Danio rerio: one gene and its partners. The protein of the gene in region 2 purifies or fractionates together with the protein of the main gene of each other region. This does not show direct contact. Links are inferred from orthologs where the notes say so. Each region holds a gene or a part of one and is shown on either strand. Other genes may lie near its edges. The genes, in order: tubgcp4, nedd1, si:rp71-19m20.1 and tubgcp3.

Region 1 (7,994 bases), on a different chromosome or scaffold from region 2:
TTTTACCTGTTCCAGCATGTAGTTGACATGAGAAATAGAGAGGTGTGGATCACCAAGAAACTGTTAAGCAAATTATTCATATTTAATGTCCAACATAATCTGCAAATACCAGCATAAATACTTAATGTGTAAACTCCAAATGTGAAACCTCTTTTTCAAGGTCCAGTAAAGCCTGCCGATAAGGCTGCAGCATAGAGTGGAGGCCAGTACAGAAGGCCCGCAGGTAAATGCCATGAAGCCCAGACTGACTCGGCTGACTGGAATAGTGCTCCTGTCAGACAAGAAGAAATCTTCTGCTATTATGTGCTTACTATGTTATTAACACACTGTATGCAGAGTAAATGCAGATTACCTGTTGATGAACATGACCCGTGTGTTGCTCTATGAATTCTGTGAAGCGCACGTAGTCAGTGCCCATTTTACATAATCGATTAAGGACACTGGTTTCGCTAGGGTGAAGGAACGGCAGGTCCTGGGACACCTGTCATCATCAACAACACTTCATCATGGTTATAAAATTTTAAATGACTATTAAATAGTGACTATTGGGTGAAAATTGGCGACACAGTGGCGCAGTAGGTAGTGCTGTCGCCTCGCAGCAAGAAGGTTGCTGGTTCGAGCCTCGGCTCAGTTGGCATTTCTGTGTGGAGTTTGCATATTATCCCTGCGTTCGCGTGGGTTTCTTCCGGGTGCTCCGGTTTTCCCCACAGTCCAAAGACATGTGGTACAGGTGAATTGGGTAGGCTAAATTGTCTGTAGTGTATGAGTGTGTGTGTGAATGACTGTGTGTGGATGTTTTCCAGAGATTGGTTGTGGCTGGAAGGGCATCCACAGCGTAAAAACGTGCTAGATAAGTTGGCAGTTCATTCCGCTGTGGCGACCCCAGATTAATAAAGGGACTAAGCTGACAAGGCTTAATGCCTTTATTAATCCGGGGTCACCACAGCGGAATGAACTGCCAACTTATCCAGCACATGTTTTATGCAGCGGATACCCTTCCAGCTGCAACCGATCTTTGGGAAACAATCATACACACTCATACACTATTGACAACTTTGCCTACCCAATTAACCTGCACCACATGTCTTTGGACTGTGGGGGAAACCGGAGCACCCGGTTGAAAACCTACGCAAACGCAGGGAGAACATGCAAACTCCACACAGAAACGCCAACTGACCCAGCCAAGGCTCAAACCAGCGATCTTCTTGCTGTAAGGAGACAGCACTACCTACTGCGCCACTGCATCGCCCAAAATATATTCAATAAACGATAATATTGTCATTTAAGACCATTTTATGATACTCATTATATAATGCTAGAATGACAATACAATATCATCAACAATGCAAGAACCTGTGAAAACGCATATCCGAAATAACTAATATTAAATGTTAACAAAAAAGTGCTAATGAAGGTAAAAAGTAATGATATCTGCTACCAGGGGCCTGTTTCAGTAAAGAGGTTCAAACAACTCAGAGTTTAAACTTGAACTCTGAGTTGATTTACCGAGAGATTAAAAACTCAGAGTTTTCGGTTTCAGAACAGCTGATCTGAGTTGGGTCAATCAACTTCGAGTAGACCAACTCAGAGTTAAGCGCGCGCACCGTGACTATAAAAAGGCATTATCAGTGGAGCGCAGACATTACGAGTGACTATGGCAATATCTTATAAAAGAGATCACCATTTCTTTCTCCAGCTGAACTTGATGTTCTCATGCAAAGTTATAGCAAATATGAGTGTATATATTTGAAAAGAAGCAGCCACCAACCAGTTAGCGTGGGAAAACAGCTGCTCAAGATAATGCCTAATTTAACTTTTTAAGTATTTAAATATTTAAGTATAATAAAATAAGTAATGTAATTTGTGACGTTTATATATTTTTTCTAAACTTTCTTTTATACATTTATTAGTTTTAAATGATTTAACAGTGCACTTGTGTGTCTGCCTTTTTTATTGATCAAGTGATAGAGGTTAATATAACATTTAGAAGGTAAGCAGTACTAAAAATAATTTTTAGAAAGAATAATAATCCCATTAATCTAGTTACATGCATATCGAAGGTGAATTCAATTTAATTATTTATTAAAAAAGCATAAGCCATTCTCGTACAGTTCTTCTGTGTGTGACTAAAATAAAGGCAATAGCTATGTTTCCATCCAAATATATTACATAAATTTATGTGCAAGACTGGAATATTGCATAAAAGATGCGAATAAAATTCCATCCAACGAGTCAAAGAGAAAAAAATTGTCACTTCCTGATTTAACTGGCACCAAATATCAACAGTAAAAACAGAATTTACTGTGGTAGAAGAAGCTGCGTCAATTAATTCTTTATTTAGCCTAATTAATGTACTTGTGCCTCGATGTCAGAAGACAATGCTGAAACACAATGAACACGTGGGGGCGTCTGAAGCCATGAGACGCGGAGTCTCTTGACACGCACCAGACGTTCGGAGGTAATTAATAATATACACTAATACTGAAACAGTTAAGGCATTTTAGAATGACTAAAACAATATTTAAGACGTGTTACAGTGTGCCCAGCCTGCTGGTTTGTTCATTTACACACATTTTCATTATCATATGATCATGATCTTTTTTTAATGTACATACTGTAATTTGTTCAGTAAAAGTGTTTCCATCGTAGTTTATGCGCACATTTTCTATCGAATAAAAGTTTACCCTACTCAGTTATGTGCGTTTTTTATGCATATTTTAAAAAGTTATGTGCATCATGACGTTTCTATCAATCGTTTTTATGCACGTATCCAAAATGAGCATTAAAAAAGGTGGGTGGAAACGTAAGGCTAAGGCGAGAAATACCGCTTCATCTTTAAAAAAAGGGGAGGAGACAGACAGAAACTCTGAGTTTAGAGAATAAAACCTGCTTCTGACCAGGTTAGATTCACAGAGTAAGTTACCACAGTAACTGACTCTGAGTTAAAGTTAACTCTCTTTCAGAAACAGGCTTGACTTACCCTGATTTCTCGAGTTTAACAAACCTGCCATTTTGAAACCGAAAACCCAGAGTTTCTCTCATTTCAGGGTTAAAATACTCTGAGTTTTCAGTTAACCTCCTTTCTGAAACAGGCCCCAGATCTATTTTCAGTTGTCAGACACCCACATGAAAATACTAGTGTTTTTTAATCACACTGACACCTTCAGCTAAATCAGCTAAAATGTTGCTAGAATTGTTTTTGAATTATGGACTATATATTGCATCACTAAAAACGATTGAGGTCATGTCCATGTGTTGTGCAATAACTCGATATATTGATTATTGTGACAGGCCTAATATAAATACAAAACAGATTTTTTTAACCCTTTTTTTTGTTCTGAAACAAAAGTTTTTTTTACACCATCATGTAACGCATTAACTAATACTTACTGACAATACCTTATTGAAAATTTTTACCTATTGAACCTTATTAAATGTAATAAAATTTCTGCAATTTAATTAGTTTGACACATTTGTTTACTCAAAATATTTATATTAATACACGTTTGTTATTATATCTGATAAAAAATGACATTCTTACAACTTGTGTCAATATTATGATTAAAGATTCTACAGTTATTGCAATATGAAAACTTGATGCTGTCATATGCCGGGTATGCATAATACACCATCGTAATACACCTTATGAATATTTTTAATACCATAGTATTCTGCAAAAAACGTACCTATCAGGGTAACCCTAACGTTACTTCACATGAAGCAAAAAGACCATGTAGCAACCCCAAATTGATTATAGTGACTATAACGATAAAACATAATGATAAAACAACTAACGTTATGGTTACAATTACACTTATACCACTACGGACCATTTTCGTGAGATACAGTGGGGTGTTTTGTACATTCACATTATATAAAAAAAACACTTGTAACGTTAAGTCGGGTTTAAAAATAGTCGTTCTTTTCCATACAGTCGTTATCTAAATGATTCAGTATGTTATACACATAAACGCTCATACATATAAGTTACAATTTTAGATGAATCACTGACAGAACTGCACAAAATACCTGCAATCCATTGCGTTTGTTCCAGGTAAATATGGTGCCAGGATATCCACTCAAAGCCAACAGCAACTCGTGAATCATTTTTCTAGTGTTATTACATTGATAGCGTATAAAAACAACGCATACGATAACAAAAATACAGGCAGTAAGTTGTCATCGTTATTATTTTCGCACCGCCAAAAGCTCCGTCGCATATTGATGACGCATATCCCAAGCGCGACAGGGGAAGCGCTCAGTCTGCTCTTCTACACTCTCGATAAATGCAGTATATTTACTACTACATATCGCTAATGAGGACTTGTCTTTGGAGAGTATTTTAGAGGTAAACAGCGCTTATTTCCTCTTAAGAATCGGTTGCGGAGTGTTTTGTGGTTACAGTTATATTACATTTGTTGATTGATTGCCCTTCGACTATCATCACAATAAAGTTGAGATAAATACATGTCAGTCAATACAGGTGCGCAAAATCGTAATTTTAAGGCACTTATACAATGCGTTGGGTATTAATATTAATATTTAATGAACTATAAAATGTAAACAAGCTTAAAACTATATTAAACTAAACACTGAGTACGCTGATATACATTCATATATTTGTGTGTGTGTGTGTGTGTGTACACACACACACACACACACACACACACACACATATATATATATATATATTATTTTATTTTATTATATATTTATAAACATTCTGTTGTATATGTGTTATGTGTCTAGTCTGCAGTCTTACCAACCACAATTGAACTGTTTGTTTGCCTGTTGCTGGCAAAAGCACAGATTTACAATCCTCATGCTTGAAGCTGCTTGGTAGGACATTATGAACTTCTCCAAGTAACTTTTGATAGTTTTCCTTGTTTTCAGTGATGGCGGCAAGAAGAGGAGAGGACATTGTCTCTGAGTTCCTCAGTCAGAATCCACATTTGGTGAGCTGGGTGGAATCTTTAAGAGGACACTGTGAGACAAATAAACAGTGGTATGCCAGGAGAGAGTTTGTGCTGCGGAATATGGAGGCTTTTCCTACCATCCAACCTGGGAGTCCAAGTTCTAGTCTGGACAGACTGCTGTCTCTATCCATGGTTTGGGCCAACCATGTATTTTTAGGCTGTCGGTAATTGCCAGTTTATTATGGATTTTTTCAGTTGTTGTAGTTCTTGTTGATTTAAAATTCTCACTAAATCCAAGTTTTTTTTGTTGTCAAGTTTGTTAAATAATTAGAACTGGATTACACTATACTGTTCTATAAAGTTTGGGTTCAACAAGGCTAAACTGAATGGATCAAAATACCCAGCAAGCGTTTTTGTTTCTAAAAGATGACCTATAGATGTCTAATAGATGATTAAATATAGTGATCTTGGCTAAAACAAGGCTAAATTTGGGCTGTCAGTGGAAAAAGTAATCAACATCTAAGAATAGCTTAAAACTCAACCTTTTGCAAGCTGCCCCCCCCCCTTTTTTTTAGGCTTGTGCAGCTTCTCGAGGAGAAATCAAACAAATGAGCGCCGTTTCCTAAAGTCTATGAGCGCAGCACACACAAATAAACTAAATTGACATACTGCAGTTACATCTCAAAATGTAGCTAAGTAAAATTTAGTTCAGCAACATGCATCACACGACCTCACAACCAAGAGAGCTGACAATTGACCATAACTTAATTTACCATCACCTCACGATTAAAAAGTGACACTGATTACATACAGGGTTCACAGACACAGCCTAATGAAAATCAAGGATTTTTAAGCACTTTTTATTATATATTAATAATCTAATAAACCTGCACTAAATGTGCTTGTGCATATTTTATTTTATTTGTTGATGTTCTTTCACAGATGGAAAGAGAACAGAATACTTGTATATATAATACTTGTATGTTATAATACAATTACACTGCAAAAATAATACACGTTTTAGTAAATAATACTAATGTTTTACAAATTACTCTTTTAAAAAAAACTACTCTGAGTACTAGTTTATTACTTTTGAAAAAAAAAAGATTTTCCATCATGGCCCTTTTAAGTATAAAATTATTTAAATGGTTTAATTGCTTAAATCACAAGGCTACACATAGTAATTTGCACTAACAAAGTATGGTCGATTTTTCCTTTCATGACAATGAATCATTTTTAATAGGACTGGCAAAACTACCACATACTCTTAAGGCCATAGAGACACTTTTTGTCCATTTTTAAACAATACTTTCAAGATTTGAAATGTTTAATCAAAGTATATGATGAAAATATTTAAATGTGGGGTTTATTTACATATTTTACACAGTTTTTCTTATTTGCTCATTGTTGTCTATACAAAATTTTATTTTAGGCTTAATCTTAAACTAAATAATTTTAGAAAAAAGACAAGAACACTGTCAGTAGTAAATTAATAAAATATATGACTTCGTTTCACCTGAGGTATTTGAAATACAACACTACATTTCTTAAAGTTTTTTAAGGTTGTTTATTTTGATAAATGTAACAGATTGCTTTTACCTGTACCTGCACAATAATACCTCAATCAAACATTTTTAGCAACTCTTTTGTATGAAATAAAATTTCCACCTTTGCTAAAAGTACTGGTAGGCTAAGTTTCACTTTACAATACAGCCAAATAAATCCGTTAGCATTGTCACCGGTCATGCATCAATCTAATTCTAAATACTTGATAGTTTTTTACGTTTTTTTAAAGTTTAGTCAAAGAGCAAAGATAAATAATTTCTACTTCTAAGAGATCGCGATTGTATAGTTTGAGTGCACACACGCGGTGACAAGATCATGAGAGGACTTGCAGTTCATTTGAAAAAGCTTATTCAAGAGCTAGCATATTCGCATTTAGCGATTAACGTACATGACTGCGCTCGTTTTATAATAAAGCACTCGCGACATTTGCAGAAATGAAAAATTGCGCAATACCTGCATTCCCGCGCCGCCATTCAGACTGTATAGTCGTCAAATAGTAAACAGGAACTAATAACTACAGATTTAAAAAAGTCTGTATAATGGCTATTTTGGGCTATTCTTAGATGATTATTAGATTTTTGCTGACCCAGATTTAGCCTTTTTTTAGCCAAGCTGTTTAAATTTTATGTCTATTAGACATTTATTAAACAAAATTTGTTTGCTGGGTTATTAGTAAAGATGTTTTGGTCGTTACAAAAGAATTCAGACTCAACCAAATGTTGTTTGGCGTTATAGTCTTCGAATATTTTTCATATATGATATATTACATTATATTATTATACATTTCTTGCACAATAACTTTAGACAGCACAACAGCACAAAACTAAGAAATGTAAATTGAAATCTTCTGAAAAAGAGCTTTTACCCTATCAGCATGTAAATTACGTTTTGCAACACTGGAGTTTATATTTTTGATGTGTTTTTGATCAAATTGATGTAGCCTTGTTGAGCAACTTGCTGAGTTTTCCTTCAAAAATATTAAGAAAAACTGCAAGCCTAAACAGTGGTGTACATTGTATATTTGCATACAATAATATAAATAAAACATTTATTTTCTATTATGGGAGGGTCATAAGTTAGGAAATGCGAACAAGAAAGAACTGATTTCATACTGACTATAAATGAATGAAATTCCTGTAAAATATAGTTCACCGTAATGTTTTATTATTATTTTACAAGGAATATTTAGAAAACATCTGGCCATTGAAAGTCTTGATAGTCTCCATATTTTTTAATAAAAGTTTCTAGAAATTTGATTGATGTGTTTTGACCCTTCAGATATCCGCAGCGTGTGATGGACAAGATAAATGAGATGGCTGAAGGAATCACCGTGATCGAGGCTCCTGAGCGAAAGACTAGAGATGAAATAATGGGAAAACTAAAAAGACCTGCAGTTTCAGGTAAATCTTTAGTTACATCATATTAATGTACACTTGTGGTCAAAGATATGTGCTGCTTCAGAAATTATTCTAATATACAGAACTGGTGCTTAAAAATAATTTAAATATATGT
Region 2 (7,350 bases):
TATTTCTCAATCAGACCGTGGATTTCATTCTGGAAAAGATGAGTGGTGTTATTATTAGGGTTGTAATATTCAGCTTTATTTCATTTTCTGGCTGCTTCAAGAATAATGGTTTGTGAAAGAGACCGAGTTACCAACTGGATGTAGAACTGGCGAACCATCTCCACCTGTAGATTGATGATGTCTCGATGACACGTGTCTCTGTGTATAACAGTCAAACTGTATCAGTCTTTTCACACTCAGAAACCGTAAATACATAAACAGGACATACTAATGTATAATATGTATATATACTGTATATAGGTTTAATGTTTGTGTTAGTCTTAGATTTATTTTTAATGTTTATATATTGTTTGAATAGTTTTCGATGACCAACATGTTACTTTTATTTTCAATTTATCAAAACTGACAGTTTTAGTAATAGATTGCAGTTATATACACTCACCGGCCACTTTATTAGGTACACCTGTCCAACTGCTCGTTAACACAAAATTTCTAATCAGCCAATCACATGGCAGCAGCTCAATGCATTTAGGCATGTAGACATGATCAAGACGATCTGCTGCAGTTCAAACCGAGCATCAGAATGGGGAAGAAAGGTGATTTAAGAGAGTTTGAATGTGGCATGGTTGTTATTGCCAGACAGGCTGGTCTGTGTATTTCAGAAACTGCTGATCTACTGGGATTTTCATGCACAACCATCTCTAGAGTTTACAAAGAATACTCTGAAACGGAGAAACTATCCAGTGAGCTGCAATTCTGTGTGTGCAAATGCCTCGTTGATGCCAGAGGTCAGAGGAGAATGGCCAGACTGGTTTAAGCTGATAGAAAGGCAACAATATACAGAAGAGCATCTCTGAACCCACAACACGTCCAACCTTGAGGCGGATGGGCTACAGCAGCAGAAGACCACACCGGGTGTAACTCCTTTTAGCTAATAACAGGAAACTGAGGCTGCAATTCGCACAGGCCCAGCAAAATTGTACAATAGAAGATTGGAAAAACGTTACCAAGTCTGATGAGTCTCAATTTCTGCTGCAACATTCAGATGGTAGAGTCAGAATTTGGCATCACAAACATGAAAGCAGGGATCTATCCTGCCTTGTATAAGGGATATTTTCTTGGCACACTTTGGGTCCACTGGAACCAATTGAGCATCGTGTCATTGCCTCAGCCTACCACTGTATTGTTGTTGATCATGTCCATCCCTTTATGATCACAGTGTACTCATCTTCTGTTGCCTGCTTCCAGCAAAATAATGTGCCATGTCATAAAGCGCAAATCATCTCAGACTGGTTTCTTGAACATGACAATGAGTTTACTGAACTTAAATGGCCTCCACAGTCACCAGAGCTCAATCCAATTGAGCACCTTTGGGATGTGGTGGAATGTGAAATTTGCATCATGGATTGCAGCCGACAAATCTGCAGTAACTGCTGTGATGCTTTCATGTCAATATGGACTTAAAATCTCTGAGGAATATTCCCAGTACCTTGTTAAATCTCTGCCATGAAGGATCAAGGCAGTTCTGAAGGCAAAAGGGGGTCAACCCGGTACTAGTACGGTGTACCTAATAAAGTGGCCTGTGAGCATTTACCACATATAGTTTTTTTTGTCCTGGATTTATTTGAAATGTGCAAATAGTTTTTAGAAAGTTTTATTTTTAAATTTTGCAGTAAATGAATTTAAAAACTAAATGAAAATGTGCATTTCAGAGTCAACTAGACTATTAACTTCTACATTTTTGCCAGTTTTTATGGTTTCAGATTTAATTAAAAACATGAACTATAATGTTGTTTACACTACTGGTCAAAAGTACTTTATTCACCAAAGATGCATTACATTTCATCAAAAGGGAAAGTTTAACAAAGAACCCCGAGTTTTTTTCAAAAGGATTTTATAAGAAACGTTTCTTCAGCAAATCTGCATATTAGAATGATTTCTGAAGGATTGTGCGACAGAAACATCAAGATATTAATAAAGAATGTTTTATTTGAAGTCATTTGTGTTGACATATTTTTAGGTACATTTCATTTAAAGAAAGCCAAAAATCAGCTTCATGGTTTTAGCTTTAGTTAAAGAGATGTAACTTTCCTCGGTTCATTCACACTCAAGTGGTTCTAAACGTTTATAAATTCCTTTCTTCGGTTCACAAAACAACATATTCTGAAAAAAGCAGCCACTGACATCAATAGCAGGAACAAAAAATACTGGAAATCAATGGCAGCCGCTTTCCAACATTGTGTTAAATATGCAGTGGCTCACCTGAAGTCCTCCAGTGCCTCATGAATCATGTTACGGACAAAGTTCATCTGTACAGAAGTGAGTGGAGCAGAATCCACTGCTGCGGCTGGAGCTGAGGAGAAACACACATTTCATCATATTTAAACCTCTTCAAGCTGAAGGCCATGACATACTTAAAGGGACAGTTTACGCAAAGCTGAAAGTCCTAGTCATCATTTACTCTCCTTTCACTTGTTCCAAACTTGTTTGTGTTTCTTTATTTTGAACACGAAGGCAGAGATGAAAAATGTTCGGAAACAACAGACATCGACTTCCATAGTATTACTTTGTTCCTATGGATGTCAATGGCAGCTCTTTTCCCCAATATTTTCTTCAGAATATCTTGTTTGTGTTCAACAAAAAGTTTGGACCGATTAAGTGCGAGTAAATGAAAAGGACATTTTCTTTATTTTGGTGAACTATCCACTTAAAGCAAAATCCATTGTTTAGTTTAAACCGTCAGAAAAAAAATGAGTCAAAAATAAGTCTTTCTATAAAAGTTAAACAATCTTGATTTCCCTTTGAAATGTAGATATATGGACATTATATACATAAAAAGTAGAGCAGTTTTAATCTCTAAAAATCAATTGAAGTGAACTGGACCGGAAGTGTCCCGTCAAAAACATTTAAATGGCGGCACCCACTCGTACATGCAGAATAAAGTCAATAAAGCATGTGCTATCCCGCTGGTGCCATTTGGATTAGCTTTTTGACAGATTTATGCACTTTTGAAAGCTTTAAAAATGAGCCACTGTCCATCATTATACCGCATGGAAGAGCCAGGACAAAATGTCAACCTACTCCAACTGTGTTCATCTGACAAAAGAAAGTCATATTCAAAGATAATGGTCATTCAATGATGGTGACGTTTTCATTTGTGTGTGAACTTTAGTAAGCATACCAGCAGCAGCAGCAGCAGGAGGAGCAGGAGCTCTGCTGATGGGGGAATCATATGTGAGCTGTGTGGAAAGATCTCTCCTCTGACTGGGCTCTGGTGTGTTGAACTGAGGCTGAACAGACTGAATTCGCGTGCTCTGAGCTGCAGGCGGTGTGGTGATGGCATCATACTCCTGCCGTACACCGTTACTCTTCTCCACCTGTCAACAACACAGAGAAACAACTCAATTTATGTTTCCACAGCGAACTGAACCAACAATTATTCCAGCATATGTTATACACAGCGGATATCCTTCCTGCGACAACCCAGTACTGGAAAACACCCATATGCTCTCCAATTCACACACACACTCATATGCTACAGCCAGTTTAAATCACAGCGCATGTCTTTAGACTGGGGGAAATCAAAGGAAACCTACGCGAACACAGCGAGAACATGCAAACTCCACAGAGAAATGCCAATTGACCCAGCCGGGACTCGAACCAGCAACCTTCTTGTTGTGAGGCAACAGTGCTAACCAATTAATACTATTCTATTACACTATTAGTAAATATGTTATTTAATGAATTTAACGACTTTTAACTAAATTTGAAAAGGCTCGCAAATTTACTTTATATTATTTAAAAAAATAATAACAATATGATATAATATTTTCAGCTAAGTGAAGACAAAATGTTTAGTTTTTTTATTACAGTGCATCCCTAATGTTAAACAATGGACCTTGGTGCCGTTCTGGACATCAGTCTGCTGTGGAGGGGTAGTGGTGGACTCCTCTTCTTTGATTGGTGGAGTCTGCACCACAGACGGACTGTAGCAGCGGCTGCCAGGAGTGCCCAACGGAGTCTTCCTCTGGGATGAGCCTCCAGGGAAATGAGGTAGATATTCAAAGTCTAGTAATGCAGAAAGAGGTCAAAGTAGAACTTTATTATTTTAAGCTCATTACGGTTGATGAAAATAAAATGAAGTTTGTAGCAGCTTGCCTTTCTTTCCACTTGATACATCACTCAGTCTGTGCCCTTTGTAATCTAGAGAGATGAGGTTTAATAGGTCATTAATTAGTAAAATAAATGTAAAAAAAAAAATCTCGACAACTCCGAGGTGGTGCAAAAGTATCCTCACCGTCTCGTACAGGTGAAAAGATGTCCAGGCTGTTTCTGCCGACTCTGAAGCGGTCAGCGGTCTGCTGTCCTTCTGCTTCCCTTGAGAAAACATCTATACTGCCGCCTAGAAACAACATCAACATACTCATAATCTCTTCAAATCTGCCATATTTAACTGAACATCATTAAATAATCCTCACCATTTCTTGAAGTATCAGCAAAGCCATGTGATTTAAAACCTGATGGAAAAGCAGATGATTTAACTTATTATTCTATACTTATTATTAGTAATTAAGAATAAGCAGAGAGATATAGAGCACAGTGCATTGTACCATCATTTAGAGGGGAGAAAATGTCCAGGTTTAAACTATTTCGTCCGATGCTGCTGAATTTCTCAACATTGGGCATCTGATCTTGACTGAGCTGACCCTCTGCCTCTCGAGAAAACACCTCAGCAGATGGACCTGAAACACAACACCTTATTATTGTTATTATTAAACTATTACAACAGCTAAAAACAGGGCTTTAAAATGCCAGCTAAGAAATAAAACAGTCTCTAGTCACAAAGAGTAAATCTAACCTGGGACTTGGGCTTGACCATCTCCAGGAAACTCAGATCCGGAAACAATGGGTGGGACAGTAGATGTTGGGGTGGAGGGTCCCGTCTGCTGACTGCTGCCCAGCTTGACTGAGATCCTTTTATTTGATTGAGAAGACTTGCTGGATGATTTGGTGGACTGTAACAAGAGTCAGAACTATAAATAAACTGATGAATGAAGGGGCTATGCTTCGTATTAATGAGAACTAAGAAAACTATATAAAACTTAGGCTATTTAAATAAAATTTTATTTAAAAAAATAATAATAAAAAAAAATCACAATTTCTATTATTAACATATATATATTTTTTTTATTAATCAGGGGTATTAAAAATATTATTAAAATATTATTTAAAATATTTAAAAATAATTTTATTTATAATTATATTTTATATTTAATATTAAAATTATAAATATACTTAATAATTTTATTAAAAACTGCACAAAATGCAAACTCCAAGAGTATTTTTAAACTACATGTTTATTACATTTAAGAAATGATACATGGACATTTATTAAGTTTTTATTAAATTTTATTAAAAAATAGAACATAATTCTGACTTCAACTGTATATTGTAAGACTTGTCAAAATCAGAAAAAGATTTGATTAAAACAAAATTAAAAATTTTGTAATATGAAACTTGACATTGATGTGAGGGGGCAGAGCTTGCAAAAACTAAGTACTATTTCAGAATGAATAAAGAATTAATCAATGTCCATGGGGGTTTCAAAATTATAAATAAAAAGTACATTTTAAAAAATGATTAGAATTTTATTTATTAAATTCAAACCAATTAAATAAAACAAAAAATATTTTCATATAAAAAACACTGCACAAAATACAAACTCTAAGAGTACTTTTTAAAAAAACGTTCAAAATATTAATAGTTAAATGAATTAAACGAGGTAAATTCATGTTAAAAAAATATTAAAAAGTTACTTAATTATTTTAAAAGAATTAAATAAATAATTGCTTTAGATCAAATGTACGGTATGTTACATACATTAACCATAACTTAAAGTAAATAAAAAAACAATTTACAACAAAAATACAAAACATAAATAAAAGTATACTTTAATCATAATTCCAGTATTCACTACTGAAACTGTTTAATAAGTAGTTTTAAAAAGATATGGTTAAAAATATATTAACGTAAAAACCTACATGAATGAAAACTATTAAATAAACTAATTTCATATAAAACACGCTGCAAAATTAAAACATTCTTAGAATCATCTGAATGATTAAAAGCAGATTACGCATATAAATATTATCATAAATATTATCAGTATTTAATTTAATACATTAATTAATTGAAAAATAATGAATATTTAATACATTAATTAATACAATACACATTACAGTCCACAATCTTCGATGCATTTTTGTCCCTGTGCCCACAGATTTTTGTTACAGTGATAAGAACATGAGTAAATTCAACATAAGCAAACCCATGTAAGGCTGGTTGAGTAGAAATTTGTTGACGGACACATAGTAGATGCAGCTGTACCTTTAACTTGGAGGTGGAGTTCTGGAAGCGAATGCACGTCACTGAGGTCTTGTGAGCTGTGTTAATTTTGACCGGTGCGCTGAGGTTTCTCAGGTCATACAGGTAGATTCGGCCCTGCGTTGAGCCCACGACCAGTCCAGCTCCATCAGGAGTAAAATCAATAGCTGTGAGTGGAGATTCCACCTGCTTATTACGAAACACTCTGTGGAGAAATTAACACATTCAACTGATTCAGAAAACAGCTTCAAGTCAAACTCCAAACAGCATATTAAATCAATGCTGTTGTGACAGTATCACCATCTACTGGCCTGGCATCCATATTACAGCATTCTGTGTCTGTCATGAGCTTGTGAGAATAGAGATCAACTTTGATGCAGTTGTAATCTTTAAGTGAACATTTTCCAACATTGTAAATGTACCCAAGAATCGTGTTTATTTATATAGTTTCAGTTTAAAAATAGATGTGAAAATGCACTATGCAGCTTTTTATTTTTTAAAATTGCCATTTAGTTTTGTTATTTAACAAAATGTTTTTTTAACAAAGAAATGTGTGAATAAATAACATTTATTCATTTATAAATTGTCTTAATTAATTTTGTTAGAAATATAATAAAAGAATCATATTGTGAATAGTATTGTGAATCATATCAAATTTCTAATTAGGTGAATCATTACATCCTTAATAAAAACATATAAATGTTTCAAGCGAATAAAATGGGGTAAAATTGCTATAGAATGTTTATCCAAGTAATATTCCAAATTTGAAGTTGATATCACAAAACTTACAGTTAGGTCCAGTGAGATTTTGTTTAGGTGCTATTCTACAAAGTGGCTAATGAGTGACAACCAAATTGACGATGTAAATTTTTCGAAACATTCTCCTGTCACAAAACCATCTGATTTGTCATCGAATATGGAACCATAACTGTCCGCCTGTCAGACCTTTTCTTAAAATATATATGA
Region 3 (7,512 bases), on a different chromosome or scaffold from region 2:
ACAGTGACCAATCATAGGAGTGTAAGAACTTGACAGCGCTCAGAAGGCAAGATGGATAATATTTACATTAGTCTATTTCCTATAAATGCTCATGTTGTTTTCTGTGCATGTACTGGAATATTGTCTAAACATTCAAAAAGATTTTTCTTTGAGCAAGTAAAATTAAAAGTACAGTTTATATATCTTACTGCGTTTATTTAAGGACAAAATTGTATTACAAATAATATAAAAATATAAATATATTTATAGATTTTAATAAAAACAAAATCTTGTGTTTTGAAGAAAAAATCTAATTCTGTATGGAAAGCATCGTCAATGCACCGTGATGTACCGAGATATCAAATTGAACGGAATCAACAGCATGATAATTGTAACTGAACAAATCATGAGACCAGTGTAGGTTCACACCCCTACCTAAAACATTCTTAAAATTAAAGGATTAGTTCATAAAATGAAAGTTGTCTAAGCCTCAAGTGGTTTCAAACCTTTATGCATTTGTATATTTGGTTGAACACAGAACAATATGGACAGAATAGTAGATATCTGATCTTGAAGAAGGTTTGAAATCCTTTTGAAGCTATTAAAGCAGGGGTGTCCAAACTTTTTGGGCCGAGGGCCAGATGCAAAAAGACAAACGTTGTCGCGGGCCAAATTTTACATACATCACACAGACACGTGTGTATATATATATATATATATATATATATATATATATATATATATATATATATATATATATATATATATATATATATATATATATATATATACACATACATATATATACATACAGTTGAAGTCAGAATTGTTAGCCCCCCTAAATTATTAGCCCCCGTTTATTTTTTCCCCAATTTCTGTTTAACGAAGAGAAGATTTTTTTCCACACATTTCTAAACATATTAGTTTTAGTAACTCATTTCTAATAACTGATTTATTTTATCTTTGCCATGATGACAGTAAATAATATTTGACTAGATATTTTTAAGACACTTCAATACAGCTTAAAGTGACATTTAAAGGCTTAACTAGGTTAATCAAGTTAACTAGTTAAGTTAAGGTAATTAGGCAAGTTATTTTATAACAATGGTTTGTTCTGAAGACTTAAAGGGCTAATAATTTTGACCTTAAAATGGTTCATAAAAAAATTTAAACAGCTTTTTATTCAAGCCGAAATAAAACAAAAGTCTTTCTCCAAAAGAAAAAATATTATCAGACATATGGTAAAAATGTCCTTGCTCTGTTAAACATCATTTGGGAAATATTTAAAAAAGAAGAAATAAATCAAAGAGGGGCTAATAATTCAGACTTCAACTGTGTGTGGATAGATAGATAGATAGATAGATAGATAGATAGATAGATAGATAGATAAATAGATAGATAGATAGATAGATAGATAGATAGATAGATAGATAGATAGATAGATAGATAGATAGATAGATAGATAGATAGATCATAACAAGAACTGCTGCTTAATTGAATGCATGTAATAGCGACACCCGGTGGTTATTTATTGAATTGCGTTCATTTTTGTATAGCGGGCCAGATTCTATTGATATTTATAAAAAGCCTCGCGGGCCGCCACAAAACTGATTGCGGGCCACAGATGGCCCGCGGGCCGTAGTTTGGACACGCCTGTATTAAAGTGATAGTTCACCCAAAAATCAAATGTACTCACTATTGACTCACCCTCAAGGCAGTTCCAAACATTCACAAGTTTTTTTCCTCTGTTGAACACAAAAGAATATATTTTGAAGAAAGCTAAAAACCTGTAAGCGTTGACTTTCATAGTCAAAAATCTTAAAAATATCTTCTTTTGTGTTCAGCAGAATAAAGAACATCATAAAGGATTGAAACCTCTTGAGGGTAAGTGAATTTTCATTTTTGTGTGAACTATTCTTTTAACATCTGAAGTAGCTCACATTCTTTAAAATATCTGCATCTCTGTTTAACAGAAAAAAAGAAACTTGAGCAGGTTTGGATGTGGATGGTGAGGAAATAATGGCAGAATTTTCACCTGTTTTTGAACTATCCCTTTAGACACCTTTAGAAAAAATATAAAACAACATTTAACACCAGGAGAAGCAAACAAGTAAATAAGTAGGTAAATAAATAATTGGAATATGAAGGAAAGTTGTGACATGTGGCCAAGTATGGTGACTCATTATACTTGGAATTTGTGCTCAGCCTTTAACTCATCCAAGTGCAGTGAACAGACACACCATGAACACACACCTAGAGCAGTTGGGGGTTCTGTGCCTTGCTCAAGGGACTCCTCTTAGCCATGGTATTATAAGTGGTGAGAGCACTGGTTATTCACTCTTACCACCTACCATCTCTGCCGGTGCCAGGACTCGAGCCTGTGACCTTCACAAGTCCAACTCTTTAAACATTAGGCCATGACTCTTCCCATGAAGTGTTTTTGTGACTGTATTTGCACATGCATTTCTCCTAGGAATGAAGCTGTCTGTCTGGAGAGAGCAGAAGAGGACTCACCGTGTGTCGTCACACTTCAGTGTTCACCCGGCTCTGCGTCTGCGATCAGCAGTCTTCAGGTGGTCAGTGAAGCCCGCACTATTGAAGTGTACTCGCTGTCTGGAGAATACTGCGGCACCTGCCGTGGAGAGGAAGTTCAAATATCACACACTAATGGGTATATGTATGCGAATGCTTAAGTTTACTTTACTAAACTTACTCAATTAAATCCTAATCATGTCATGACAAACTATATATCAGTGGAAGGTCTAAGACTTTTAAATACATATTTCATCACTTTTTTGTTATGTAGGAAGAGTAATAGATTAAAAAATATATATAAGGTCAATATGGTCACCAATGGAAACTGGATGTCATCTGGTCCTGATAATTGATCTTGCAGCCAAGCCAAATAAAATCTTACTAAAAGCTTCTAATTTGAAATATGAGTGGTTCAGATAATTAGATTTTCTGCCATTTTTCAAAACATAAAATACATATTGTATGTAATGTATTCATAAACAATGAAGGCACATAACTTTTATTTTAATCGACATTTCAACTTCTGCCTTCTGTCTTCTTTAAAATAAGACCAAGCTTAAATCTATTGACCAAGGCATTGAAGACATTTAAGTTGAACGTCATTTTCATATGTGCAAAAAGTGGGGGCGACAGTTAAGTTGTTAAATTATTATTATTATTATTATTATTATTATTATTATTATTATTATTATTATTATTATATCATGCTCTTATTGATATAGGCTATGTTTAACAACTACCAATTTTTTTTTCTCAAAGTGTAATACACATAGAAATACACTTCTGATGTAACATAATATACAGATCTCAGATTTCATGAACTTTTCGCTCTTATTTGCATGCAATTTGAAATAATACATTTTTTAAATAGTAAGCTAATTTAGTTAAATAGCAAACAAATACACACATACACAGCTAATGAAAAAAGACAGCATGTACATTTTTACTTTTAATAATTTCAGATTTTTTTTTTGTAATTAAGCAACTTCAGACTTTTCTTGCAAATTTAAAATAAAAAAGTTGTCATTTAGTGTTTGTCTATTTTTAAGCACAACTTCAACATTTAGACGTTAAGAAAAAGTAAAGAAATCAATTTTTGCTGGAATAACCCTAATTTTTTATTACACTAAATCAATTATTACCAGTTGTCCTTTTCTGCTCAACATTTTCATCAGTTAAATTTATCAGACTGTTGTTGAGTGCAACATATTAAAATTTTACTTAAACTCATATCTAACAAATCCAATGATTTTTCAAGTAGTCTTTTAATTCTTCTCCGAAGCTGTAATTACTTTGAATTTGCCGTTTTTATAATGCAAATATCTACAGTTGAAGTCAGAATTATGAGCCCCCCCTGTTTATATTTTCCCCAATTTTTGCTTAACGGAGAGCAGATTTTTTCAACACATTTCTAAACAATAGTTTTAATAATTCATTGCAGATTTTATTTGACTCTTTTATGGAAAAAAGAGCAGTTGTGATTTTTAAGATAATACACATCCCCTTTACTTAGCATTTGAATTTCTACCATCAGGACGCAGGTTTAGAATTAATAAAGCACGAAGAAATGCCTATAAAAAGTCATTTATCCCAATGGCAGTTGTTGTTCTAAACCGGATCAATGTTTGTAGTGGATGAGGTGGTTACCAAGAATGATTTGCAGTATTGTGCATGGGGCTAATTTGGTTTTTAAACTTTTAACTTATGTTGATGTCTTGATAAGTGTGATTGTATCGTAGTTGTATGTTTGTAATTGTTGTCCTAAATCCAGTGTTGAAGAAAAATTTCCTTTCTGTGTCAAGCAGAACGGACAATAAAGTTTTAACTAAAACTAACTTATTTCTAATAACTGATTTATTTTATAAATTTGCCATGATGACAGTAAATAATATTTGACTAGATATTTTTCAAGGCACTAGTATTCAGCTTAAAGTGACACTTAAACGCTTAACTTGGTTAATTAGGTTAACCAGGCAAGTTAGGGTAATTAGGCAAGTTACTGTATAAGGATGGTTTGTTCTGTAGACAATAGAAAAAAAAACTAGCTTAAAAGGGCTAATAATTTTGACCTTAAAATGGTGTTTAAAAAATTGAAAACTGCTTTTATTCCAGCCGAAATAAAACAAATAAGACTTTCTCCAGAAGAAAAAATATTATCAGGCCTACTTTGAAAATTTCCTTTCTCTGTTAAACATCATTTGGAAAATATTTGAAAATGAAAAAATAAAAAATAAAGTGGGCTATTAATTCAGACTAGTTTTTGTTATTTTTAGTTTTTGTCAAACAAGAAAATGTAATTAATTATATTCCACCTCACAAAATGAATTTGTTTTTTGGGTTTTCTTTTAAGTTAAATGTGATTACCCTGATGGTTTGCTCTATTTTGTGGCAGTTCTGAAGAAGAGAGGCATTTCTACAGGAATAATCTGATTCTGGAAAGCCCTGCTGTGTCCTGTGAGGTGAAGGTAAGAAATGTGAGAAGTAAATCCACACTTTCATTGCAGGCATTCAAACTGATATATGATGTGTTTGTACAGCTGCTGTCTCTCGGTGGCCGCTCCTCTGTGTCTGTCGCTCATGTTTGTGTGGGACTGGAGACACTGAAGGGCAGACAAGGTGGGCCGAGAGTAGAGCCAGGCATTGACCTTCAGCAGGTGCAGGCCATGATGGAGGAGATGGGCACCACCCTTTCACCGGGAGCACAAAATCTATTGGAGCTGGTGCAGTGCCAGCAAAAGGTCTGGTCTCAGTCTCTTATTACAGCATAATCACCACTGCACTGGGCAGATTTAATAGGATTGATATTATACAGAGGAATAATAATGAAAATATATTAAATTAAATAATAAATAGTATTTTTTTATATTACTTTATTACTGTTTTCAGTAATAATTTTAGTTGAAAAAGTAAAAATAAAATTCTTTTAGTTGTAACAAATTGAAGTAATTTAGGATGATTATAGATGGGTTGATATCTATTTAAAGCTACCCTCCTGTTAAAATAGATGAGTTTATAATAGACTTTTTAAATTAGACCCTTTTTATCATTTGGACAAATTTGGTTTAAATCTGACAAGTAGCTTGGCATCTTTTTACTACATACAGCTGCTTTTATACAAACAAAAAAGATATACAGAATCTCTTTAGCACTATGACCAATAGGTTGTTTTCAATCATGGTTCTGATGACATACAAAATTCAGATGGGGGGCAGGAAGTAAAAAATTGAATGGGAGACATAGAGGAATGTCTGTATTTTTGCGATTTAAACCATATTTATGGTTTATATTTTCCATATTAATGGAAAATAACCACATATGTTGGACATGATCCTTCTATCATGAAGAGAGCCCAGTTTCTACTAAACTGAAATATATTAGCCTGTCATCGAGGCGGTATATACTGTATAAGCTATTATGTTACATGAACAAATACTACAGTAAATACTTTATTGTTTGAAAGCATACAATAGATTATTACTTGAATTACACTTCGTAGTAATTATAATGTTCCTGTGACATGACTCAACTGTAGTAATAAACAAATGGGGTGTATGCCGAGCTAGTGTTTTTCCCAAACTGATAAACTTCCGGTGACCTGTTATTGTGAACTTTTTTCCATTTTATATGGTTCCTTTTACAGCATGGATGTTGTAATGTCATTAAAATACATTCAGTTAAATAAACTTTGGCAGTCATTTAGTTGCTCAAGCTTAAAACGAGACAAAAAGCCGTTTACTCGCAGGCGCCCTCAGAATTGGCAGGCTAGCGCAGAAGCTCCATTGAATATACTAGGGTAAAATAAATGCTCACATTATAAAGATATGGCAGGGGAAATGAAATTTAATGCAGTGCTTCTTGTACAATCTGAGACCCACTTTATATCGGATATCACTCGGCTAGTGGAGATCGCTGATTTTTAAAGAAAACAGCCCTTAAACGCGCCGGTTTTTGCATTGGCATACAGTTCACCGGAAGCGCTTAACCCAGGTTACTGGCAAATTAAAAGTCCTATTAGCATGCTTCGGCATTCACCCTATTATTCAATAGGCTTATATTAAAAAAATATTAAATTATATTAAAGCTTATTATTCAATATGCAATAGTTTTCTATGCTATAATCAAAATGCACCACAGTTTACACTAATGTTACAGTATTTATTACAGTTTATCAGTTAACTATACTACAGTATTTCATAGCATTAATTAAAGAAGAGTTATACACATTATACACTCTACTATGTGGTTCAAAACATGTTTATTCTTTATTACTATAGTTTTTTTCTCATGCAGATATCTTCCAGACATCACAAAATACAGATGAAAGCAAACAAAAGCAAGGGCGCAAAGACTATTATTATTATTTATTTATTTTTGGAAGGGGGAAAATGCACCACAATAATAAACATCTAGTTTTGTTGGCGGGTTGCATTTCTTTTTTGTTCTGTCGATGAACTTACCTTCAACAAACATTCACTGCTGCTGCGCATCTCGATGTTCACGTTACAGTTGTTATTCTGCCGAAACGCCAGTAAAGACATGGATTATTGTAAAACAAGACAAAGATTTCATTACAGCAATTACATGGCAGGATATGTTATTTATATTCTTCTAAAGTTTGTAAAAGTGTGGTGGTGTTTGCATCTGATTTTTATTTAACACATTAACATATTTATGCACATAGCTAGCTAGGCCTGTATATAATTTTTATTTGTGCTGTCAAATGAATTATCAAGTTCCAAAAAGTTTGTACACATGGATGTATTAAATGAATGTTTGTTACATGCTGCATTTCTACAGTTTTTAGACAGTTTCTTTCTCCCCATTATGAGCAAATAATCTATAAAAGCTGTTTGGCATTTCTTATTTGGGTCAATTAAAACAATTACAAACAGCATAAAACAGAAACATTTTGATGTTCTGATAGCAATTCCTATGTAGAAGAATCACTTCCTGCCCTTCATCTGAATTTTTTTTTAGCCATTATTCTAGTCTTCATTG
Region 4 (8,177 bases), on a different chromosome or scaffold from region 2:
AGAGAGAAACCCTTATGTTTTGTCATAGACTTTATAAAGGATTATATGAAGCAATTCAACAGAAGCTGAATAAGAATGACACAACAACTGTTCACAGGAGAGAAAATTCAGCTAGATCTTTTCTTACAACATTTTTTAAACCACCTATAGAACCACTGAATTATTTTATGTACAAAAATAAGTTGGGAATTATTGCCGTCTATGGAGGATGAGGGAGCTCTCAGATTTCCCTTAATTATATTCATTTATAATATGTAATATTTGAGAAGTATGCTTTAAGATCATTCATATAAAATTCTACGTACCAACACAATGATTTCTATATGCAAATACTTGCTGTGTTATACTGTATTTTACTTATTGTATAAAAAAATACATACATATATACATATATGTATATATTTTATGCCGAAATTATTATATCGAAATTATGTCATTCCATTTTTTTTTTTTTTTCGAAGTGTATTTTTTAAGCTTCCCCAAGAATGACGACTTCCACTGCTGAGAAAGCTGCAAATATGAAAAAGGTTTATTGTCTGCAACTGACCCAGTAAGCAAAGATGGTGGGGTCGGTCCAGGCCCATTAATAGAAAACACCCCCATACTGCTGATTCCACTGGTAGCCATGCTGGAGTTATGAGCTGTGGCGGAGCGCTCTGGGTAGCTGAGTGGGAGACTCTGAGGACGGGCATAGTAGAACGGTGTGGAGTGAACATCACGGGGCAAAGCCTGAGCAAGCAGAGCTCCATAACTACACACCTGTAGACAGAAAACAAGATTACTTCTGCGCTTATACACAAAATCCCTTTAAGGCAAGTCATTTTACTCGAAGACCATCTTTGAAATGCCTTGTATGCTGAGGTATTCTGTTTGAATGGGGTAACATCAAATTCTCTAAAAATGCTTGCCAAGCTTAAGATTTAATTTCAAATTAGGAATCATCAATGAATACACCCCCCCCCCCCCCTTCCCCCAAAGAATCGTCAGTCTATATCGATTGCTGATTGTCTCCTGTACTAGAAGACGGGGCTTCATTCGTCATATTGACCTTTACACTTTTCGCCATTCAAAACTATAAGAGCGACACGTCTTGTGTATTCTATAGCCTTTGTTATACATCATGTAAAGTTATATTTCATATCACTGAGTCTGTAAAATAGGATTTCATACAGGAACCCGGCCGGATGGTTTCCTTGGGTCCTCACAGAGGCTGAGCAGGAGGTATAAGATGGACCATCTGTGTTTCAATACACCCTGTTGAACAGAAACAACTGAATCAACATACAACATCTAACAATCTAACGATCATTATATCTGATCCGTGCACCACGGCTAGCTGGGAAATAATGAGAATAATGATCGATTCTGACCTGGGTCTGAAGCTTTCTGTGCAACTCAGAGAAAAGGGCTGCATCTGCTTCCCGCCTTTGTTTCAACACTGCAAGAATTCAGCAATAATCAACAATAAATGATGACACCAAAATATAAAGTTTTTCTTTTTAATGCAGCTATTATTAAAGGGCATTTTTGACAGAATTGTCTCTACGCCGATAGGTCCAGGGCTGGATTATTACTAATGACAACATGGTGGAATAATTATGCATAGTCAGTAAAGGAACAAAGAAAAGTAACAGACAATAAACACACAGTAAATACATTACAGTGGTTTTTGAATCGGGTTGTCTGCAATATTAATGATTTTTGTCAATCTTAATTCTGAAATTCTAGCTGACAGCATTATTTTGTGTTATTTTACTATAAAGAAAGTAGAACTGTAAATTTGACACAAAAATATGTATAATCTGGTACATACAGTGATCATTCTTTCAATATTTAAAAGTAACTTAAAAATGGATTTGATTATACATAACAATTATCCAACCTTGGAAAAGATAACTCAAGACAAAAATATGGTTAAAACCAATCATCAGTTAATCACAAATTATCGATATTATTCACAGTAAATTTGCTGATCAGTTGTATTTTTTTTATTCTGTTATACTGAACATTCAGAATTATGTTGATTTCATCATCTTACCAAAGTCCTAAATCTGATATTATGAATTTCTATGACTACATCTGCTGAAATTCCAGCTACTATAGCAGATTAACAATTCACCCTAATTTCTATTTTTCATGCGGAAACAAAGTTTAATATTATGTTTCTGAAATAAAATTCTTAAAACTTAATTCTCATATAATTTTACTTTTATTTTTTTTTTTTGTAGATTAATATAACAGGTCAAAAAAAAAAAACACAAAATATTTGTTTCAGGCCTTCTAAAAGCACATGTGCACAAAAAAAAGGATAGGGTTTCAACATCACTCACATTCTTTCTTAATTTTCTCAGACACCAAAAACTCGTCCCGTTCAATTGTGGGAGCGTAATTACTTCCAATGACCCGCACAGCGTACTGGAACTGATGGGCTACGTCAGCTGAGAACAAAAACAAACAAACATACATACATACATACATGAAGCAGATTTTACAGATTTTATTATGCCAAATGCCATTAATGTTAAACTAAATAAATAATAAAAAAAAGTCTAGCTGGTCATGAAATATTCTGAATTATTGACTGATAAAAATATGTTTTCAAAACGCTCCTTCTAATAACAATTGACTAATAATTTGTTAAAAACAGGTAATCAAATGTTTTTAACTTGGCTTCATCCAAAATTTAGATTTGTATGCTAAAAAATGTATAAAAATAGCACATTTCAATAAATAATGTCTCGTTTACAGGCAACCCTGATATTATTCAGAAAATCTGATAAATATTTGTTTCCACAATGATGCCTCTTGTACACCGTCTTATTATTTTTAGGGAGAAGTCTGTGTCATTTCAGGTCAAACTTATCTAGTCAAAAATATCTAGTCAAATATTATTTACTGTCATCATGACAAAGATAAAATAAATCAGTTATTAGAAATGAGTTATTGAAACTATTATGTTTAGAAATGTGTGAAAAAAATCTTCTCTTCATTAAACAGAAATTGGGGAAAAAATAAACAGGGGGGCTAATAACTCAGAGTGGCTAATAATTCTGACTTCAAATGCATTTATCTCATCTTTATAAAATGAAAGAAAGGACCATTCATTTGCCATCTCTACAGTTCACTGATAATCTGCTGATGAGCAATTCCATAAAAAATTTCAACAAATTAGCAAAACTCTTTCTAGTTTTTTTGTGTAGGCTTGTATTTTACAGTACTGTAAAATATTTTAAAAATGATCTGTCAATGTTTTCAAAGTTACATTGATTTACCAAAGTAATATAAGTGGTATTTTCACATCTATCACATCCATAATGGAGAGGCGTCATATCCAGATTCCATAACCAAGCTTTTTCCTCATAAATTTAAAAAATAAAAATAAAATAAAAATAATTGATGTATAGAGAGCCAACTCTTATCCTTATGAAATAACTTTGTTTCTTCTGTGCAGTTTAATTTCTACAAAGTATGTTGTTTACTATAAACTCGCTAACTTTTTGGTCACATCCATAAGTAACGCAAGTTTATTTTCCTCATTTGAATATGAAATATGTTTACATATTGATATTTTTCTGATCCCCTAACTCTGTGGTTAGTAGTTCTGGAAAATAGAAACAGACGTTTCAATATAAAATGAACATTTAGTTTCTATGTGAATTTATGTTTTGAGTTTTTACTGTAAATGTCACATCCATAACTCTGAAATTGCTCTGCTGTCTTCGGTTTCTGATCTGTTTTGTATCTTATGCAAACTCTCTGAGATGCAAGTCCTGTAGGTCTGGGATTCATTCATACGCACTAACTATAGAGGTAAAGTTGGTTTTATATATTCACACATTCAGACATTTTCCTTAATAATATAATTTTAGAAAAGTATTATTTGCAAATTCTAAATAGCAAAATTATACTAGCAGCCAATGACTATCAAAGTACAACATTGTTCACAGTCAAATAAACAGTGTTAATGTTGTTTTCAAGTCATACTTGGAGTTTTTTCGGACCAAATATTCAAAGAACCGTGATAAACAATATAGGAAGCGCGTCACAAGTTGTCACTGAACGAATGTGTGAATATAAAACCAACTTTACCTCAATGCACTAACTTATAGGAAAATGACAGCTGACATAAGGTGACACAAATCATCACAGGGTCTCTTTACTATTGAGGTAAAGTTAGTTTTGCAATCGCTCATGAGTGCATTTAACAGTCTCCATGTTGTTTACCACGCTACTTTGAATATTGGGTCTAAAATCGCATTTAAATATGACTTCAAAACAACATTAGCACCATTTCATTGATTGATTGAACACTTGATTGACCTTGATTGAACACTGTTGTACTTTGTTAGTCGTTGGCTGCTAATATGATTTGCCCATTATGAATTTGTGTATAATTATTTTCTGAAATTATATTACTAAGTAGTATGTCTGAATGTGCGATTGTTTTTAACCCCTATCTATTAACGCAAAGAGGCAGGGGCCCTGCGCTTTTCAGCATCTGCAAATGTTCACAAGATTACAGCATCTCATCGGTGCAGATCTGACCCTCAATCACGCATTTGATCGTATCACATTTTCAACGAAACAGCCACATACTCGCTCACATCCTGCACATGACGATCATGTTTAAGCGGCGGTATGACAGTGATGTAAAGGGATGAGATCTGAGTCTTTACCTTCGCTCTTGCCCGTGATCTTACAGCACAGGCTCTGCAGAAGCACGTTAGGGGATTTCTGATCAAGCGTCGCCATTGTGCGCTTATCTGTCGCCTCCGGTGCGGGCAGAAACGGTTAACGGTGTTTTTTTTTTAACCGCTGTCGCTTTCCATTCGATGGGCTTGAGCTCCTGGCAACAACAGCGCCATTTTAACGGAACCCGCCGAAAAGCGCCCACAGTCGGACAGTCAACGGAAAACACAGCAGCGGTGCGCAGCGGAGGAACGGTCGGCTGTGAAATGAGGCTGAGAAACAGGTTCCTCCGTACTAACATTGCCTAAGCATAAAATATAATAATAATAATTGCATTAGTTATACTGATATATTTGAGCGTTTTTTATCTCAATTATTTAATAACAGAAACGTTATTCTTACTAATAAAACCGGTATAGATAAACAGCTTTGAAAGGTGCACTGGGCTGTTTCTAAATTTTTGCAACCAAACAAATAATGACAAACAAACATTCTTAAATATTATTATTATAACACTTTAACCAAAAACAGCACCAATAATATCCCATATAGAAATTTCATATATGACAATATGCTAATTACATGTATGACATTCAAGTTCATATTTGGTTTTCCCTTATATAAAATGTCATATAGATCATTTTGAGGGATGTAAACAAAAACAATTGTGCCAACGTACTTCCTGTTTCACATTTTAAATTAAATTTCTATGGCTTTTGATTACCGAGAAAAGCCACTTATTGATAAATAATGTTATGACAGCAGTTTTAACCTTGTTATGATTGAATTGTTACAGTTTTGAAATAGTTTGATAAACTATTTTGACTACATTGAAATGGTCTATATCCAACACACACACACACACACACACACACACACACACAAACATATATATATATATATATATATATATATATATATATATATATATATATATATATATATATATATATATATATATATATATATATATAGATATATATATATAGATATATATAGATTAGATTAGATTTATAAATGGCATAATAATAAAACAAACATTTTTCAGTTGTTTTGGTGCATTTCTCAGATCAAAAATGATAATAAAAGCAGTTTCGTTTGAAAAAGTTGTGTTTGCTTTTGTAAGGTTACAATTATAGTGTGTAATTACGTATTAGCAGCAGTTGTGACCTAATGGTTAGAAAGTTGGACTTGTAATTAAAAGGTTGCAGGTTTGATTCCTTGTCCCGGAAAGATTTCTCCATCTTCGACACCCAGCTGAGATGCCATAACACCTAATTGCTCCCTGGCTGCTAGAAGCAAAAGTTGCCCATTGCTTTGGGTATATGCTCAGTGTGTATGTGTGTGTGCTCTAACTTCTCACTCGTGTGTGTGCACAGAGGACCAATTTAGTATTGGTACTTGACAATACTCACTTCACATTTGTCTGCGGTTGCTAATGCCATGTTGCTAAAAATGAATTTTTTAGTTTTAGTTTTTAATCCCCTTTAATAATCCCCTTTTTATTTATTTATTCCTCTTTATATCCATTATTAATCCGGGGTTGCAGCAGCGTAATAAACTGCCAACTTATCCAGCAAATGTATTATGCAGCGTATGCCCTTCCAGCTGCAACCCATCACTGGGAAACACCCATACACTCTCATTCACACACATACACTATGGACAATTTAGCTTACCCAATTCACCTAGCACATGTGTTAGCGCAACTGTGGGGAAAACAGAAGCATCCGAAGGAAACCCACGCGAACACAGAGAGAACATGCAAACTAAACAGAAATGCCAACTGACCCAGCCGAGGATTGAACCAGTGACTTTTTCTGTAAGAGGATTGCACTACCCACTGCGCCACTGTGATGCCGTTTTAGTTTTTAGTGTTTGCTTTTCTACAGTAATTTAGCATTTTGCATTTGTGCCCATATTTAATTTTCTTCTCATTATCCCTATGCCAATGTTATTTTATTTGTCAGACATGCAAAAGTGTACCTCTGAATCATATCCAGTTTCTTTTAATCAATATTCCACATATACAGTGATGTGTAAATTTGACATTTGAAATGGTAATATGACTTAGAGTAAGAAGAGAAGCATGTATTTCAGTTTTTCCAACTGTTGCCATAGTTTACAAAAACATAGTTCACTGTTGTATGTGTTTTATATTAATGGCACTGATGTTCCTTAACACATTTATGCATTTTAAGAGATTAGATTCTGAGTAAGTTATGTGCTTACTTATAACTAGGCAGGGTCTGGTGTGATAACCTTGTATAAAAATATCATGACTGCACAGTATTGTGATTACTGCATTAAAATATATTATTTTTAAATGTCTTCCCTTTGAACACACAATATATTTTATTTTGAGAAACATTTTAAATATTTTATAGCAGTAACATGTCAGGCTGAATAATTCAAACGGATTATTGACTTCTGCTGTCTTCATTAGTTTCAAAAACAGATGTCATTACAATTTAAAACTGCATTTTTGGAGATCTTTTCTGCTGGAGATACTGCTGTCCTAAAAACAAAACAAAAATTGTAAATAAAAAATCGTATACAAACCTTAAGGAATGGTTTAGCAGAAAATTTTGCCGGTTTAAAAAAAAAAAACTTTTCCAAACTGTGATAAACCTTGAAAATTGTCCTATGCATACTTATAATAAAGATCTTTCTAAAAACTGAAGAAGCTGAAATGACCAGCTTTGTATGAATTGAAATGAAGTTTGTATGAATGGCACACAGATATATAAACATGTCCACAGAACAACAACAACAACAACAATAATATAAAATTAACATACTAAAACCTGTGGTGAGACAGACAGATAGATTAATGAAAATCACTCACTTTCCTTCAGTTTATTCCCTGCTTTATCAGCAGGATGAACCGCCAATTAATCTGGCACATGTTTTACCAGCAGATACCCTTCCTGCCGCAACCCAGCCCAGAGAGGGCACCCTCAGTGCTAGATATACACAGATACAGCCAACTCAGTTCATCCAATTCACCTGTACCACATGTCTTGGTACTGTGGTGGAAACCGGAGCACACCAAGCACACCCACATGCAACATGCAACATGCAAACTCCATAATAAGCCACTGTGCTGCCTAAATCCTGGAAATTCAGCAATACTGTATACACTCTGTAAAAAACAACTGTTTCTTAGTGGCACTGATGATTCCATAAAGAACCTTTAACATCCATGAAAACTTTTCATTCCACAAAAGGTTCCCACATAGCAAAATTTCTCTGGCCCAGATCTGGCCCACACAATCAGGTTTTGCTTGGCCCACATGCCGCAGTGAATTACGGTACATGACTGGACCAAATCTGGCTTCCAGACAAGGGCCAAACACGGACTATATCTGGGCCAAGTCTCAGCCAAGTTAATAACTCATAACTGGGCCTGAACTGGGCCAGATAGGTTGGTGTGTCACGATTGCAATGAAATTGATAAACCCATGGAGTGATGCGCTTTAGGCACA

The links.
Region 1: the proteins of nedd1 (region 2) and tubgcp4 purify together in Homo sapiens (affinity purification with mass spectrometry; 3 studies listed by BioGRID and IntAct, with this or other methods). This does not show direct contact. The link is inferred for Danio rerio from reciprocal best matches to the Homo sapiens genes NEDD1 and TUBGCP4.
Region 3: the proteins of nedd1 (region 2) and si:rp71-19m20.1 purify together in Homo sapiens (co-immunoprecipitation; 3 studies listed by BioGRID and IntAct, counting the BioPlex papers as one, with this or other methods). This does not show direct contact. The link is inferred for Danio rerio from reciprocal best matches to the Homo sapiens genes NEDD1 and C10orf88.
Region 4: the proteins of nedd1 (region 2) and tubgcp3 purify together in Homo sapiens (affinity purification with mass spectrometry; 3 studies listed by BioGRID and IntAct, with this or other methods). This does not show direct contact. The link is inferred for Danio rerio from reciprocal best matches to the Homo sapiens genes NEDD1 and TUBGCP3.

The regions. Positions count from the first base shown.
Region 1 is NC_133182.1:54,551,963-54,559,956, forward strand, and holds the start of tubgcp4 (gamma-tubulin complex component 4), read right to left. Parts: upstream 4,266-7,994; 5' UTR 4,108-4,265; coding exon 4,030-4,107; intron 500-4,029; exon of another isoform or gene 482-499; coding exon 353-481; intron 272-352; coding exon 149-271; intron 61-148; coding exon 7-60; intron 1-6. Other genes in the region: cdkn2aip (CDKN2A-interacting protein), read left to right, coding at 4,896-5,140, 7,761-7,882. UniProt on the Homo sapiens protein: Component of the gamma-tubulin ring complex (gTuRC) which mediates microtubule nucleation.
Region 2 is NC_133200.1:20,783,658-20,791,007, reverse strand, and holds part of nedd1 (protein NEDD1), read right to left. Parts: intron 6,590-7,350; coding exon 6,388-6,589; intron 5,016-6,387; coding exon 4,859-5,015; intron 4,743-4,858; coding exon 4,611-4,742; intron 4,518-4,610; coding exon 4,479-4,517; intron 4,403-4,478; coding exon 4,298-4,402; intron 4,204-4,297; coding exon 4,159-4,203; intron 4,069-4,158; coding exon 3,899-4,068; intron 3,378-3,898; coding exon 3,182-3,377; intron 2,355-3,181; coding exon of another isoform or gene 2,354-2,354; coding exon 2,263-2,353; intron 199-2,262; coding exon 132-198; intron 30-131; coding exon 1-29. UniProt on the Homo sapiens protein: Required for mitosis progression. Promotes the nucleation of microtubules from the spindle.
Region 3 is NC_133187.1:11,908,662-11,916,173, forward strand, and holds part of si:rp71-19m20.1 (ATPase PAAT), read left to right. Parts: intron 1-2,452; coding exon 2,453-2,656; intron 2,657-4,906; coding exon 4,907-4,979; intron 4,980-5,051; coding exon 5,052-5,252; intron 5,253-7,512. UniProt on the Homo sapiens protein: ATPase that regulates mitochondrial ABC transporters ABCB7, ABCB8/MITOSUR and ABCB10. Regulates mitochondrial ferric concentration and heme biosynthesis and plays a role in the maintenance of mitochondrial homeostasis and cell survival.
Region 4 is NC_133176.1:49,708,385-49,716,561, reverse strand, and holds the start of tubgcp3 (gamma-tubulin complex component 3), read right to left. Parts: upstream 4,753-8,177; coding exon 4,677-4,752; intron 2,439-4,676; coding exon 2,331-2,438; intron 1,439-2,330; coding exon 1,371-1,438; intron 1,255-1,370; coding exon 1,171-1,254; intron 760-1,170; coding exon 544-759; intron 1-543. UniProt on the Homo sapiens protein: Component of the gamma-tubulin ring complex (gTuRC) which mediates microtubule nucleation.